Saccharomyces cerevisiae S288C: one gene and its partner. Changing the gene in region 2 together with the main gene of any one other region gives a genetic interaction. Each region holds a gene or a part of one and is shown on either strand. Other genes may lie near its edges.

Region 1 (4,149 bases), on a different chromosome or scaffold from region 2:
GCGTCTACCTCATAATCATAGTAATCATCAGTGCTTGGTGGAGTATCATTTAAAATTTGTTCCTTATGTGAGTCATACCATGCTCTTTCCTGGGGGTCAGACAGTACTTCATAAGCGGCTCGAATCACAGCAAATTTTTGTGTGGCTTCTTCAACATTATCTGGGTTTTTATCTGGGTGATATTGTAGGGCCTTTTTACGGTAAGCTTTTTTTAACTCAAGATCAGAAGCATGCGTTTCGACCCCTAAAAGCTCATAGTAGCAGGTCTTCATCCGTTATTTTTGAAGTAGTAGGATATCACTATACTGATATTAACTCTTGGCTGGTCAGACTTTTACTATGTAAAAAGAGCTACTTTGCGATGACTTCAAATTTTTTTCACGTATATTTTTTTTCTATTCTTAAAACAAGAAAAAGTGTAAACATAAAATGTTGGCCGCTTAAGCCCTCCAATTTTACAACAAATGAATATTTTATACATACTTCCTAGAATATAATTTAATCTTATACCTTAATTTTTAGTTACAATTACAACAATTTATCTATTGACTCCGTTAATAAAAATTACTTCACCATCTTCTCCAGGATATGATCATACAGATGGTCCAGACACCTCTCCAAATGGTGATCTATGGAATCCATCCTGCGCGTTGACATAAAATCATAGTATGCTTGATCCGTAAATTTCTTTAGATTCATTTCTTGACTATATACTTGTCTATGCAGACGTTGAGCAAAATTGGACAGCATGATGTTTTCATATTTCAATTTGATAGCCAGCAACGGAATCTTTCGCCTTAACTTTGGATAAGGAATACCAACAGCCAAAACAATTTCTTTGACAGTATTTTGTAAAGTCGTCAAATTTGCTGAATCAATTTGTTCAACCATAAGGAAATTACATTCTTCTGCCGAAATATCGGGCCTTGACTGTAAGATATTTTTTATTGTAATCCTTTCAGAAGTATTTCCCTCTAAGTTTCCAAATCGCGACCTCAAATTATCCAGTTCCTTTGATAGAGTGTTTGTTTTCTTTTCAGCATCTGCTAGCATTTTTTCTTTATCCTTCAATGATGTTTCGTATTTTTCTTTGCTTTTTTCCCATGATCCTAGTCTTTCATTCAACCTTTCCAGCTTAATTTTTATTTCCTCATTACATCCTTTCAAAATTTCCTTCTCATCGATTGTCAACTTGTCAAATTTATCACATAGTATTTTGTTCTGTTTGGAAAGGGTTTTATTTGTACCAATTAAAGTATTATTTTTTTCTCTCATGGTCTGGATTTCAATTTTTTTATTCTCTAACTCATTTCGGAGATCCTCAGCTTCTGCTTTTGCATTTTTAAATCGCTGAGAAATGCGGCTCAGCTCTTCTTGCTGTGATGCACATAAAAACCCTTTAATATTAGGATATTTTTCTTGTAATATGTGATCTAATTTTGAAGAATTTTCCTCCGAGTCATACAAATCGAAAAACAATATACCAATCGGTATTTCAAACAGCTCGGCCTTTCTTAAGGAGTCAGTGAGACTTAGTAATGCAGTGTGTTTTGTCTGAATAGTATCATTGGCTTTTTCCAACATTTCTTTATTCAGCGAAAGGTCCTTTGTTAGGTTTTCAATCAATACTGTCTGTTCTTCAATTTTTTTTTTGTTATCTAAGGTTTTGTCGTTTGACTTCGTAGCTGCTTCGAGCTCCTTTTGTAAAGAGTTTGCTCTTTCCTCTTGTCTTAGATTATCTCTACCCAATTCAATAACTTTTTTTTGATACCCCAGTATCACATTTTCTAACATTCGAAAATCCTCTTTCGATAAGGAGTTTTGTAGAAAAATTTTGGCACCGTTACAGTCTTCTATCGAGATATCTGGCGATGTATGTTCATCAGTTGGTTGAGCAGAAGCCTGTTCATTTGCCCTCGTAAAATGCTTCGAAGAGTTTTCTCTAGGAGTAGAGTGTATGAAATTGGGTACATCCTTTTTATGAACATCAGTACCTATGGGAGACTTATCTTTTTCGTTTTTTGGTCGTTCTTGTAATCCTGGAGATTCCTGATAACTAGTATTTCTAGCATAATTCATTTGATCCATAGATGGTGATTTGTTCTCTTCATATGAGTCTCTAGCATTGGAAAAGTTGCAATTGATGACATCTTCAGGGTTAACGAATAAAGGTAAGATGGATTTTCCGACATGATTTTCATTTAGCCAGTTTTGTGGGATTGGCTCTCCGTCTTTAATTTCCCCATTCTCTGATACAGGAGAATCCAAACGCTCATGAAATGGAAAATTCATTAAATCGAAATCAGTCATGATGTACAAAAGACCTGTCACTATTTACTAGTGATTATTTTTTGTATGTGTAGATTTCTTCCCGAGGAACGTTAACGTTATTAGTTGTTTTATTACTATAAACGTTCCACAAAAAATTGCCTAACGCCTCACGTCGCGCAACGCGAATTTTCACAAGAAGATGTTATTTACAGTTACGATAATTGAATTGGATATGTAACGAGAAGTTGTACCTAAAACTCCGTATGTGTATATTACCATAGATTTTTCATGGTCTAGTCTAGAAAATAAAAAAATATGTATATACGCAATTGTTAAGAAAATGAGGATTAAAAGCTTGGAAAATATTAACTTTCACTGTGTCTTAAACCCGATCTATTCTTTTTAATTTTGGCAAAAATTGGTTCACTTATACCTTTATTGCCTTGAATACCAAGGCCCTCTCCACTTTTCCACCCAAGCTTTTCCAACATTCTTCTACCGATATTTTCGTTTCCAATCTCTGGAGCGTTTTGACCAACAATCTCACCTTCTTTAACATGAAATTTCCCTCTGATTGTTTTAGTTCTTTCGAAAGCAGCTTGTTCCTCCCTCGGTCTTCTTATATCTATTCTCATGAATACTGGCCTCTGCCTCATCAATTGGTCAATGAGACTATAATTCGGAGAAGACCATTTCGTTTTCTTTATTTTTTCTACAACAACCGACGTATGATTTGCTTTCCCAATTTTTGAACTCTTCATATTATAATGCTTCGCAATTTTCATTACGGTCTTGTTTCCATGAGGATCTAATGGAGGGAAAGTCAGTCTATCATTGTTCCTAGACAAAAAGGACTCAAATTCATCTTTAATATTTTGAATATGGAGTCCATATGGGTATTTCTTGAGCATATCGTTCGAATTTCTATTCTCCTGATCAATGAAATCTTCTTTGGCTTTTCTTTTCTTTGCTTTGGTTTCTATGCGTTTACTAAACTTACTTTGTAACGTCTCCAACGTTTCTGTATCCAGCGCTAAGGCGTCATCGATGAGTAGCTTCTTCTTCTTACCTTTACCCTTAGTTTCCAAGGACTTGGTTTCAAATGTTTTGAATCTTTCTGTATCATGTTTCAATGTGTATGCAATTAGGTCGTCCAGACCCTCTTCAATGTCGCTATGCACAACCGAGGAGGCCATATCTTCATCATCTTCATAGCTGTCGCCTTCATAGCTGTCACCTTCATCACTCGAATCAGAAATCGGAATATCTGAGTAGGTTGGCTCAGCTGGTTCAATTTTTGGTATAAGAGAATTTTTAATAAAATTCAAATATGCAGGTAATCTATCTTCAGGAAGACCTAACTCGTCTACAACGAAGTCTGTGAGTAAGTCCTGGTCAATCCAATGAAAGTCGTAATCTCCCAGTAATCTGTAACACCGTAGATAATATGAATTGTCTACTCCGCCCATTCTTATATTGGAGACCACTATGTCATTAGTATTTATGACAAAATCTTCTTCTTTGAATCCAAATTCTAACTCTTCGCTAGCAGGAGATGGCAGATTATCATTATTGCCTTCGAATGTTTTGGTACCATTTATTGAAAGACATTTTATATCTTCTGTCAACTGCGGACTAGGGCTTGGTAAAAGATTGTTGTCAGCTCGGGAATTGTGACGTTGGCCAACATAATTAAACCCTTGATCAACCTCAGAACTTGCTGAGGATTCGTATAAAGGTTCACTATTATTCTCTGTTTCTATTTCGTAGTCTAGTTCATCATTGTCCGAGTCGCTAGTATGCATACCATGTAATACGTTGGAAATGTAACCAGCAAATGGATGATATGTCTTATTACCCTTATTTGGAACGTCAACA
Region 2 (8,645 bases):
ATATTCAACTAGTTCAATCACTCTTGAAAACGTCCCCTTTCTACAAAATTAGGCTTTGAACGCGTGCTATGGAAAAAAGTGTAAAGAAAACGAAAAAACCAGAAAAGTCATATATATCTTATAACGAAATATCAGGGTGTTCGACTCAATCGCCAGGTGCCGCTAACACAATCATTAGGATAGTCGGGCAATATATACGGTTCAATAGTCACTGAAAGTGTATCACAGAATAATGACAAAGCTACAAGGACTACAGGGATTAAAACACATCAAAGCGGTTGTATTTGATATGGATGGCACATTATGCCTACCCCAGCCTTGGATGTTTCCAGCAATGAGAAACGCCATAGGATTGGAGGACAAATCGATTGATATCCTTCATTTCATTGATACATTGCCCACAGAAAAAGAAAAAAAAGAAGCGCATGATAGAATAGAATTAGTTGAGGCAAAAGCCATGAAGGAGATGCAACCGCAGCCTGGTCTGGTTGACATAATGAGGTATTTGACGAAAAATGGTATTAGCAAGAACATATGTACTAGAAATGTCGGAGCCCCGGTAGAGACTTTTGTTAAAAGATTTATTCCATCCGAGCTTTCGAGGTTTGACTATATTGTGACAAGGGAGTTTAGGCCTACAAAACCGCAACCAGACCCATTATTACACATCGCCTCGAAGCTAAATATAAGGCCCTTGGAAATGATCATGGTAGGAGATTCATTTGACGACATGAAATCCGGTAGATCTGCTGGATGTTTCACGGTATTACTCAAGAATCATGTGAATGGACATTTACTGCTCGAACATAAAGAACTAGTAGACGTTTCAGTAGAGGATCTTTCCGAAATAATTGAATTGATTCAAAATATGAATAAAGAAAGTTTCTAAAAAAAAAAAAACTTTACTTAGATATGTACATATGATTGAAATACCATTTTATTCTTAGATGTTTTTTAGAGCTAATATAGTAGCTATGGCGGAATTACCTTGATTTTTTCGGCATCACAAAGTTCGAGAACACATCAAATCAGCAAAAAAATCTCCGCGACGGGGAATTGAACCCCGATCTGGCACGCGACAAGCGCCCATTCTGACCATTAAACTATCACGGATTTTAATTGTTGGGTTAACGGTGTTTTTATTAATACTTGTTTCATATGATTTGAAAAAATAAAAAAATGTTGCAGCAAGTGATCATTAATGTCAATATAAATAATGATGGTAGCAAGATGAGTGTTTACGTTAATGTACATTTCATATACTGAGAAATAGGTGAATTTTCGGGATAATCGTTAGGATTTCATTATTGTTAAGGGCTATAATTTAGGTATATCGAATATACGAGAAGTTCTGCACGATGATATAGGGATCCATAAAGGGAACCAATATTTCTACGTACCTGTTACTTCTCCCTCCATTTTATATTTTTCATCATTTTATGACGTTATCAAATCCTTGCATTTCAGTTGCCATTATACTTTACCATTGTTTTTCGATTTTATGTCATCTTCTTACACCGTATGACAATATACCAGTAGTATGAATATCAGTCGATGAGTGAGTTGATTTTTATTCGAACATACACGTTTTAACGTGAATGTACTAAACTGCTAACTGAGCATTTCGGACAGTGCTGAAAATAAGTTAAAGATCTACGCTTTGGTAGTTATGTATACGAGTCATACAATTCGTCACATTAAATGTATAGTATCAAAGACAGTATTATCCACACTTAATCTTCATTAATACTTATCAACAAAAATGAAGCACTCATCTGACTATATTTATATAATATTGCCGACCAAAATCCTTGTGTTTAATTCCAAGTGATTTAGCACCAATCCTATTCCATCCATGCAGGTGCTGTTGCTGCTGGATCCGTGTTTTTGACCAGTCTTAATGAAGCACAACAGCAGCCTACCCTTTTTGTGGACCATATTAATGGATACAATGAGTACTTAGCACGAAGAAAGCGTAGCATTGTAGTTTCATCGTTGCAACTTAGTCCTAGTACGTTCCAGTTCTGCATCGTGACTCACCTTGAGCTCGAAAAATGTGACATATACGTTTTCCGCTGTGGCCGCTGTGGCCGCAGCGTCAAGAATCGCCAATGATAAGTTCTCTGCTCCTGGCGTCGATAGATTCAGAAAAGTGTGAAATTATCGAAGCACGGGTATAGTTAATTGTTAAAGCGTAGATGCTTTGTCGTAGAAACTTTTCTTTAACCTATAGGGAACTCAAATTCTGGAAGGTCAACGTATAATGGAGGACAGTAAAAAGAAAGGATTAATAGAAGGCGCTATACTCGATATAATAAACGGTTCCATTGCAGGCGCCTGTGGTAAGGTGATCGAGTTTCCTTTCGATACTGTGAAAGTCAGGTTGCAAACACAAGCATCCAACGTGTTCCCAACAACATGGTCTTGTATAAAATTTACTTACCAAAATGAAGGAATAGCACGAGGGTTTTTTCAAGGCATTGCTTCACCTTTAGTTGGAGCATGTCTGGAGAACGCGACATTATTTGTGTCTTATAACCAATGTTCTAAATTTTTAGAAAAACATACAAACGTTTCCCCGTTGGGGCAAATCCTGATCTCTGGTGGAGTAGCGGGTTCATGTGCTAGTTTAGTTTTGACACCCGTGGAGCTGGTGAAGTGTAAGTTGCAGGTTGCGAACTTACAAGTTGCATCAGCTAAAACGAAACATACAAAGGTGTTGCCTACAATAAAAGCAATTATAACTGAGAGAGGATTGGCAGGATTGTGGCAAGGGCAATCGGGCACTTTTATTCGAGAAAGCTTCGGTGGTGTTGCCTGGTTTGCAACCTACGAAATAGTTAAGAAGTCGTTGAAAGATAGGCACTCCCTTGATGACCCAAAAAGAGATGAAAGTAAGATATGGGAACTACTTATTAGTGGAGGGAGCGCTGGATTGGCATTCAACGCCAGTATTTTTCCTGCGGATACTGTGAAATCAGTAATGCAAACTGAACATATAAGCCTCACCAATGCGGTGAAGAAGATATTTGGCAAATTTGGACTAAAGGGTTTTTATCGAGGACTGGGTATAACCCTTTTTAGGGCAGTACCAGCAAACGCTGCAGTTTTTTACATCTTTGAGACTCTTTCTGCACTTTAAATACAATAAATCGTGTAATAAGCAAGTATGTAACATTGATAGACAGTCTGTAATACCATTTACTGATCAAGAATGTCGCACAATCTCAACAGCCAGGCTTTGTGTTAGTATTTTGTGTTTTTTACAACAACCTCTCGACTATTGTATACCAGTTTCTTGCATAGATGCTACTATTCTCTGACAGTAAATTATCTAGTCAGGACTTCGGATTTAACTAAATGCAAAAAAAAAAATGATTCGAATGTAAACAAAAAAAACTGTCTAGGTAGCAATGGTTCTTCTATAAAAGTGCAAGCTCTATAAAATCAAGATCAAGCATAGTACCGCCCACTGTTAGAGTCTTTGGTACGCAAACATTTTTGGCTACCGGATGTTGCGAAGAGAACTAAATAACTCTATCAGCAACAGGTCGATAGAAAATGAATCCTTTCCTTTTGAAAGGCCGAATGTCAGCTATATAATATCCGCAGAATTTGATAATAAATTAGGTCCTATTTTGAAGCACCAATACCCGAAAGATATTCCAGGTTTCAATCAGTTCTCACATGAGCAACGCAACGGCAATACGTCGGTGTCTATGAACTTGGCAAGTTTAATGATACCGAGTAGCATAGAGAGAAATCCCGGCAAACAAGATATTACAGTGTTTACCCTTTATTACAATAAGTTTACTCAAAACTATCAACTCTTTCCTGTGCCAAAAGACCCTCGTTTCAGTTTCAATCTGCATCATCGTGAACAGTCAGATGGTAGTGTTACCAATAGCATATATTACGATGCCGAAAATCATCAAGATGCAAAAAATAATAGATACACTATTGTCTTGGAAGATGATGAGCTCGAATGCCAGGAAGTTCAGAATAATCAGAAAGCCATCGACAACGAACCTTTATTTTTCATAAATGTCGCCAACACAGTATTAGACACCACGAACGATAGAGGGGCAGTAATCAAGTCGATTGCCATCGGAACACCATTAAAAACCTTCTTTGCATTCAAAAATATTATTGTATTAGTGTTAGACTTGTATATGAAAGCTCCCACTCAAGCTGCTGCTACAGACATACTGCTTGATTGCTTTAATATGCTAAACAGTATTGACCTTACATTGATTAATGACATACATTCCAAAAGTAGTATACAAGAAGTGCTACACTCTATCCATGACGAATCTATCATTACCAAAGTATTTTTAGACCCGGATTCCACTTTAAAGAAACTCTTTTGCATCAATGGATTTGACACTAAGGACAAGTATGGTAACATTGTGACTTTTCATGACCAACTCATTCAATATCATTTTACAAGATTTCAGCCAAAGACGCTCCCGCCATTTTTGTTAAAAATCCCATTGCAATTTAATATGATTAGAAGAGAGCCTATTTATATTGAAAATGATTATAATGAACTAGTTTTAAAATTTTTGGATAAATTTGTCCCTTACCTTCTTAAAGCCGGACAAAAAGTTAATGCATGGAAGTTAGTCATCAATTCAACTAAACTGAGTAAAGAAGACCTATGCGCTTTTATTTTGTCATTAGCCAACATAACGGCAACTTATGCTAGCGATCCACAATCATACTTCAAAGGAAATGCTGCGTTGATTTTTCCCTATATGGACATTTCTCTTGTTGACGGTTTGCGGGCGTATGTAGCATCGAATAGTGATTTTGTCGGATGCTTTGCAATTATCGGAACTGCCAATCCAATTTTCCGATACCAGTTAGATATCTGGGATTATTACTACGATGTGGATGAGGGAGTGTTTTATGAAAATAATAGTCCAGAAAAAGAAAAGCCAGATACAGTGGCAGAAGTGAAGATTGGGCCTAACCCTTTGAGAAAGATATTCAATAGGCCTCATTTCTCAACCAACGCAGTCAACGAAAGTCAGGTAAACTTGGGCCAGAAGCTCTTTTCTCTTCTTATCGACGAATATCATGATAGTGATACTATCATGAGCGTTTTGAGAAGGCTGAATGTTCTTCAGTTGGAAAACCTTCTGGACGCTTTGAAAAGACGAGAAATTCCACCTAATATAGCACTAAAAGATGAATATATCATGTTTTATAAAGATTTTTTCATTTTCCCGGAGTTCTTTGATTATTTTACACTGCATAGTATTGAACTATTGTCTAACTTGGATAATTGTTTATTTAGCTTAGGAAACACATGCCAGTTATTTTCCACAGAGCAAATATATTCCCAATTAAGCCAAATATTGGACATTGTTAAAGAGCTGTTTCGCATGGTATCGGTAAGCAGGACAAACATTGAGAAGTTTTTAAACGCTTGTTTGAACTATTCTCCGTTCAAAATATTACCCACAGCTCAGTTACACGGTGATAATATTTCTAGGTGGAGTTTTGAAAGCGAAGTGCGTCAGGGTTTCGATAATTTTAACAGCTATATGGGCATCGAAAAAGATCCCCACGGTGTTATAGTATCAGCAATAGATCTTTTTACTCAAATTTACAGTTTTGATATCTTGGCGTTTTTCCTCACATTTATTACAAAAGAAAGTGGGCAGGATTTGCCCTTCACAAAATCTCTGTCCAGGAGAAGAACGTATTTGACCAGAATTGCTCAATCTTCTTCATTGAGACAGTTTTTACAACTGAGTACACGCCCTAATATAAGGATTCTGGGAGGTAATGGGCAGGGTACTGGAAATTCCAATTATCCCGAATTTACAAACGCATCCTCAGTCATCTCACCCAAGCTAAGGGCTTCTCCTCTACTAGAAAGAAGGGCGTCAAAAATCTGCTATGCTATTACGAAATTACTCTATAGGTTAGAATGTCATCCCATAGGTATGGCCCTTTTAAAGAAGTATCTCCACAATCAATTGCGAGAAGCCTATCTAGAATCAAAACGACACTTTATTTCCAAAAAGGGAGATTCGACCAACACTTCCTCTACCATTGCATCATCATCTTTCGCTGGCGCATCTGTTCCTCTATCTTCAAACGAATCAGGAATGCTAAACGGCTTGAAGCAAATTAACGAACAACAAGAATCTACATTAGAAACCACTCAAAAGGAAGACTAGTAACGCCGTATCGTGATTAACGTATTACATAAGTTACAGGATTCATGCTTATGGGTTAGCTATTTCGCCCAATGTGTCCATCTGACATTACTATTTTGCATTTTAATTTAATTAGAACTTGACTAGCGCACTACCAGTATATCATCTCATTTCCGTAAATACCAAATGTATTATATATTGAAAGCTTTTGACCAGGTTATTATAAAAGAAACTTCATGCTCGAAAAAGATCATTTCGAAAAGTTGCCTAGTTTCATGAAATTTTAAAGCAGTTTATATAAATTTTACCTTTTGATGCGGAATTGACTTTTTCTTGAATAATACATAACTTTTCTTAAAAGAATCAAAGACAGATAAAATTTAAGAGATATTAAATATTAGTGAGAAGCCGAGAATTTTGTAACACCAACATAACACTGACATCTTTAACAACTTTTAATTATGATACATTTCTTACGTCATGATTGATTATTACAGCTATGCTGACAAATGACTCTTGTTGCATGGCTACGAACCGGGTAATACTAAGTGATTGACTCTTGCTGACCTTTTATTAAGAACTAAATGGACAATATTATGGAGCATTTCATGTATAAATTGGTGCGTAAAATCGTTGGATCTCTCTTCTAAGTACATCCTACTATAACAATCAAGAAAAACAAGAAAATCGGACAAAACAATCAAGTATGGATTCTAGAACAGTTGGTATATTAGGAGGGGGACAATTGGGACGTATGATTGTTGAGGCAGCAAACAGGCTCAACATTAAGACGGTAATACTAGATGCTGAAAATTCTCCTGCCAAACAAATAAGCAACTCCAATGACCACGTTAATGGCTCCTTTTCCAATCCTCTTGATATCGAAAAACTAGCTGAAAAATGTGATGTGCTAACGATTGAGATTGAGCATGTTGATGTTCCTACACTAAAGAATCTTCAAGTAAAACATCCCAAATTAAAAATTTACCCTTCTCCAGAAACAATCAGATTGATACAAGACAAATATATTCAAAAAGAGCATTTAATCAAAAATGGTATAGCAGTTACCCAAAGTGTTCCTGTGGAACAAGCCAGTGAGACGTCCCTATTGAATGTTGGAAGAGATTTGGGTTTTCCATTCGTCTTGAAGTCGAGGACTTTGGCATACGATGGAAGAGGTAACTTCGTTGTAAAGAATAAGGAAATGATTCCGGAAGCTTTGGAAGTACTGAAGGATCGTCCTTTGTACGCCGAAAAATGGGCACCATTTACTAAAGAATTAGCAGTCATGATTGTGAGATCTGTTAACGGTTTAGTGTTTTCTTACCCAATTGTAGAGACTATCCACAAGGACAATATTTGTGACTTATGTTATGCGCCTGCTAGAGTTCCGGACTCCGTTCAACTTAAGGCGAAGTTGTTGGCAGAAAATGCAATCAAATCTTTTCCCGGTTGTGGTATATTTGGTGTGGAAATGTTCTATTTAGAAACAGGGGAATTGCTTATTAACGAAATTGCCCCAAGGCCTCACAACTCTGGACATTATACCATTGATGCTTGCGTCACTTCTCAATTTGAAGCTCATTTGAGATCAATATTGGATTTGCCAATGCCAAAGAATTTCACATCTTTCTCCACCATTACAACGAACGCCATTATGCTAAATGTTCTTGGAGACAAACATACAAAAGATAAAGAGCTAGAAACTTGCGAAAGAGCATTGGCGACTCCAGGTTCCTCAGTGTACTTATATGGAAAAGAGTCTAGACCTAACAGAAAAGTAGGTCACATAAATATTATTGCCTCCAGTATGGCGGAATGTGAACAAAGGCTGAACTACATTACAGGTAGAACTGATATTCCAATCAAAATCTCTGTCGCTCAAAAGTTGGACTTGGAAGCAATGGTCAAACCATTGGTTGGAATCATCATGGGATCAGACTCTGACTTGCCGGTAATGTCTGCCGCATGTGCGGTTTTAAAAGATTTTGGCGTTCCATTTGAAGTGACAATAGTCTCTGCTCATAGAACTCCACATAGGATGTCAGCATATGCTATTTCCGCAAGCAAGCGTGGAATTAAAACAATTATCGCTGGAGCTGGTGGGGCTGCTCACTTGCCAGGTATGGTGGCTGCAATGACACCACTTCCTGTCATCGGTGTGCCCGTAAAAGGTTCTTGTCTAGATGGAGTAGATTCTTTACATTCAATTGTGCAAATGCCTAGAGGTGTTCCAGTAGCTACCGTCGCTATTAATAATAGTACGAACGCTGCGCTGTTGGCTGTCAGACTGCTTGGCGCTTATGATTCAAGTTATACAACGAAAATGGAACAGTTTTTATTAAAGCAAGAAGAAGAAGTTCTTGTCAAAGCACAAAAGTTAGAAACTGTCGGTTACGAAGCTTATCTAGAAAACAAGTAATATATAAGTTTATTGATATACTTGTACAGCAAATAATTATAAAATGATAT

What was found. Genes that interact genetically often act in the same process or in processes that back each other up.
Region 1: of AFI1 (region 2) and CNM67, a mutation in one rescues a mutant of the other (synthetic rescue), as found in Saccharomyces cerevisiae (one study listed by BioGRID).

Annotation. Positions count from the first base shown.
Region 1 is NC_001146.8:222,160-226,308, forward strand, and holds CNM67 (Cnm67p), read right to left. Parts: upstream 2,311-4,149; coding exon 565-2,310; downstream 1-564. Other genes in the region: JJJ1 (Jjj1p), read right to left, coding at 1-272; SQS1 (Sqs1p), read right to left, coding at 2,637-4,149. UniProt on the Saccharomyces cerevisiae protein: Involved in the pathway that organizes the shaping and sizing of the prospore membrane (PSM) during sporulation. Required for the proper formation of the spindle pole body (SPB) outer plaque.
Region 2 is NC_001147.6:564,426-573,070, reverse strand, and holds AFI1 (Afi1p), read left to right. Parts: upstream 1-3,512; coding exon 3,513-6,194; downstream 6,195-8,645. Other genes in the region: YOR131C (putative haloacid dehalogenase-like hydrolase), read left to right, coding at 233-889; ORT1 (Ort1p), read left to right, coding at 2,264-3,142; phosphoribosylaminoimidazole carboxylase ADE2, read left to right, coding at 6,880-8,595. UniProt on the Saccharomyces cerevisiae protein: Involved in actin patch polarization. Required for maintaining a proper budding pattern in yeast cells. Required for proper polarized localization of the ADP-ribosylation factor ARF3 at the plasma membrane.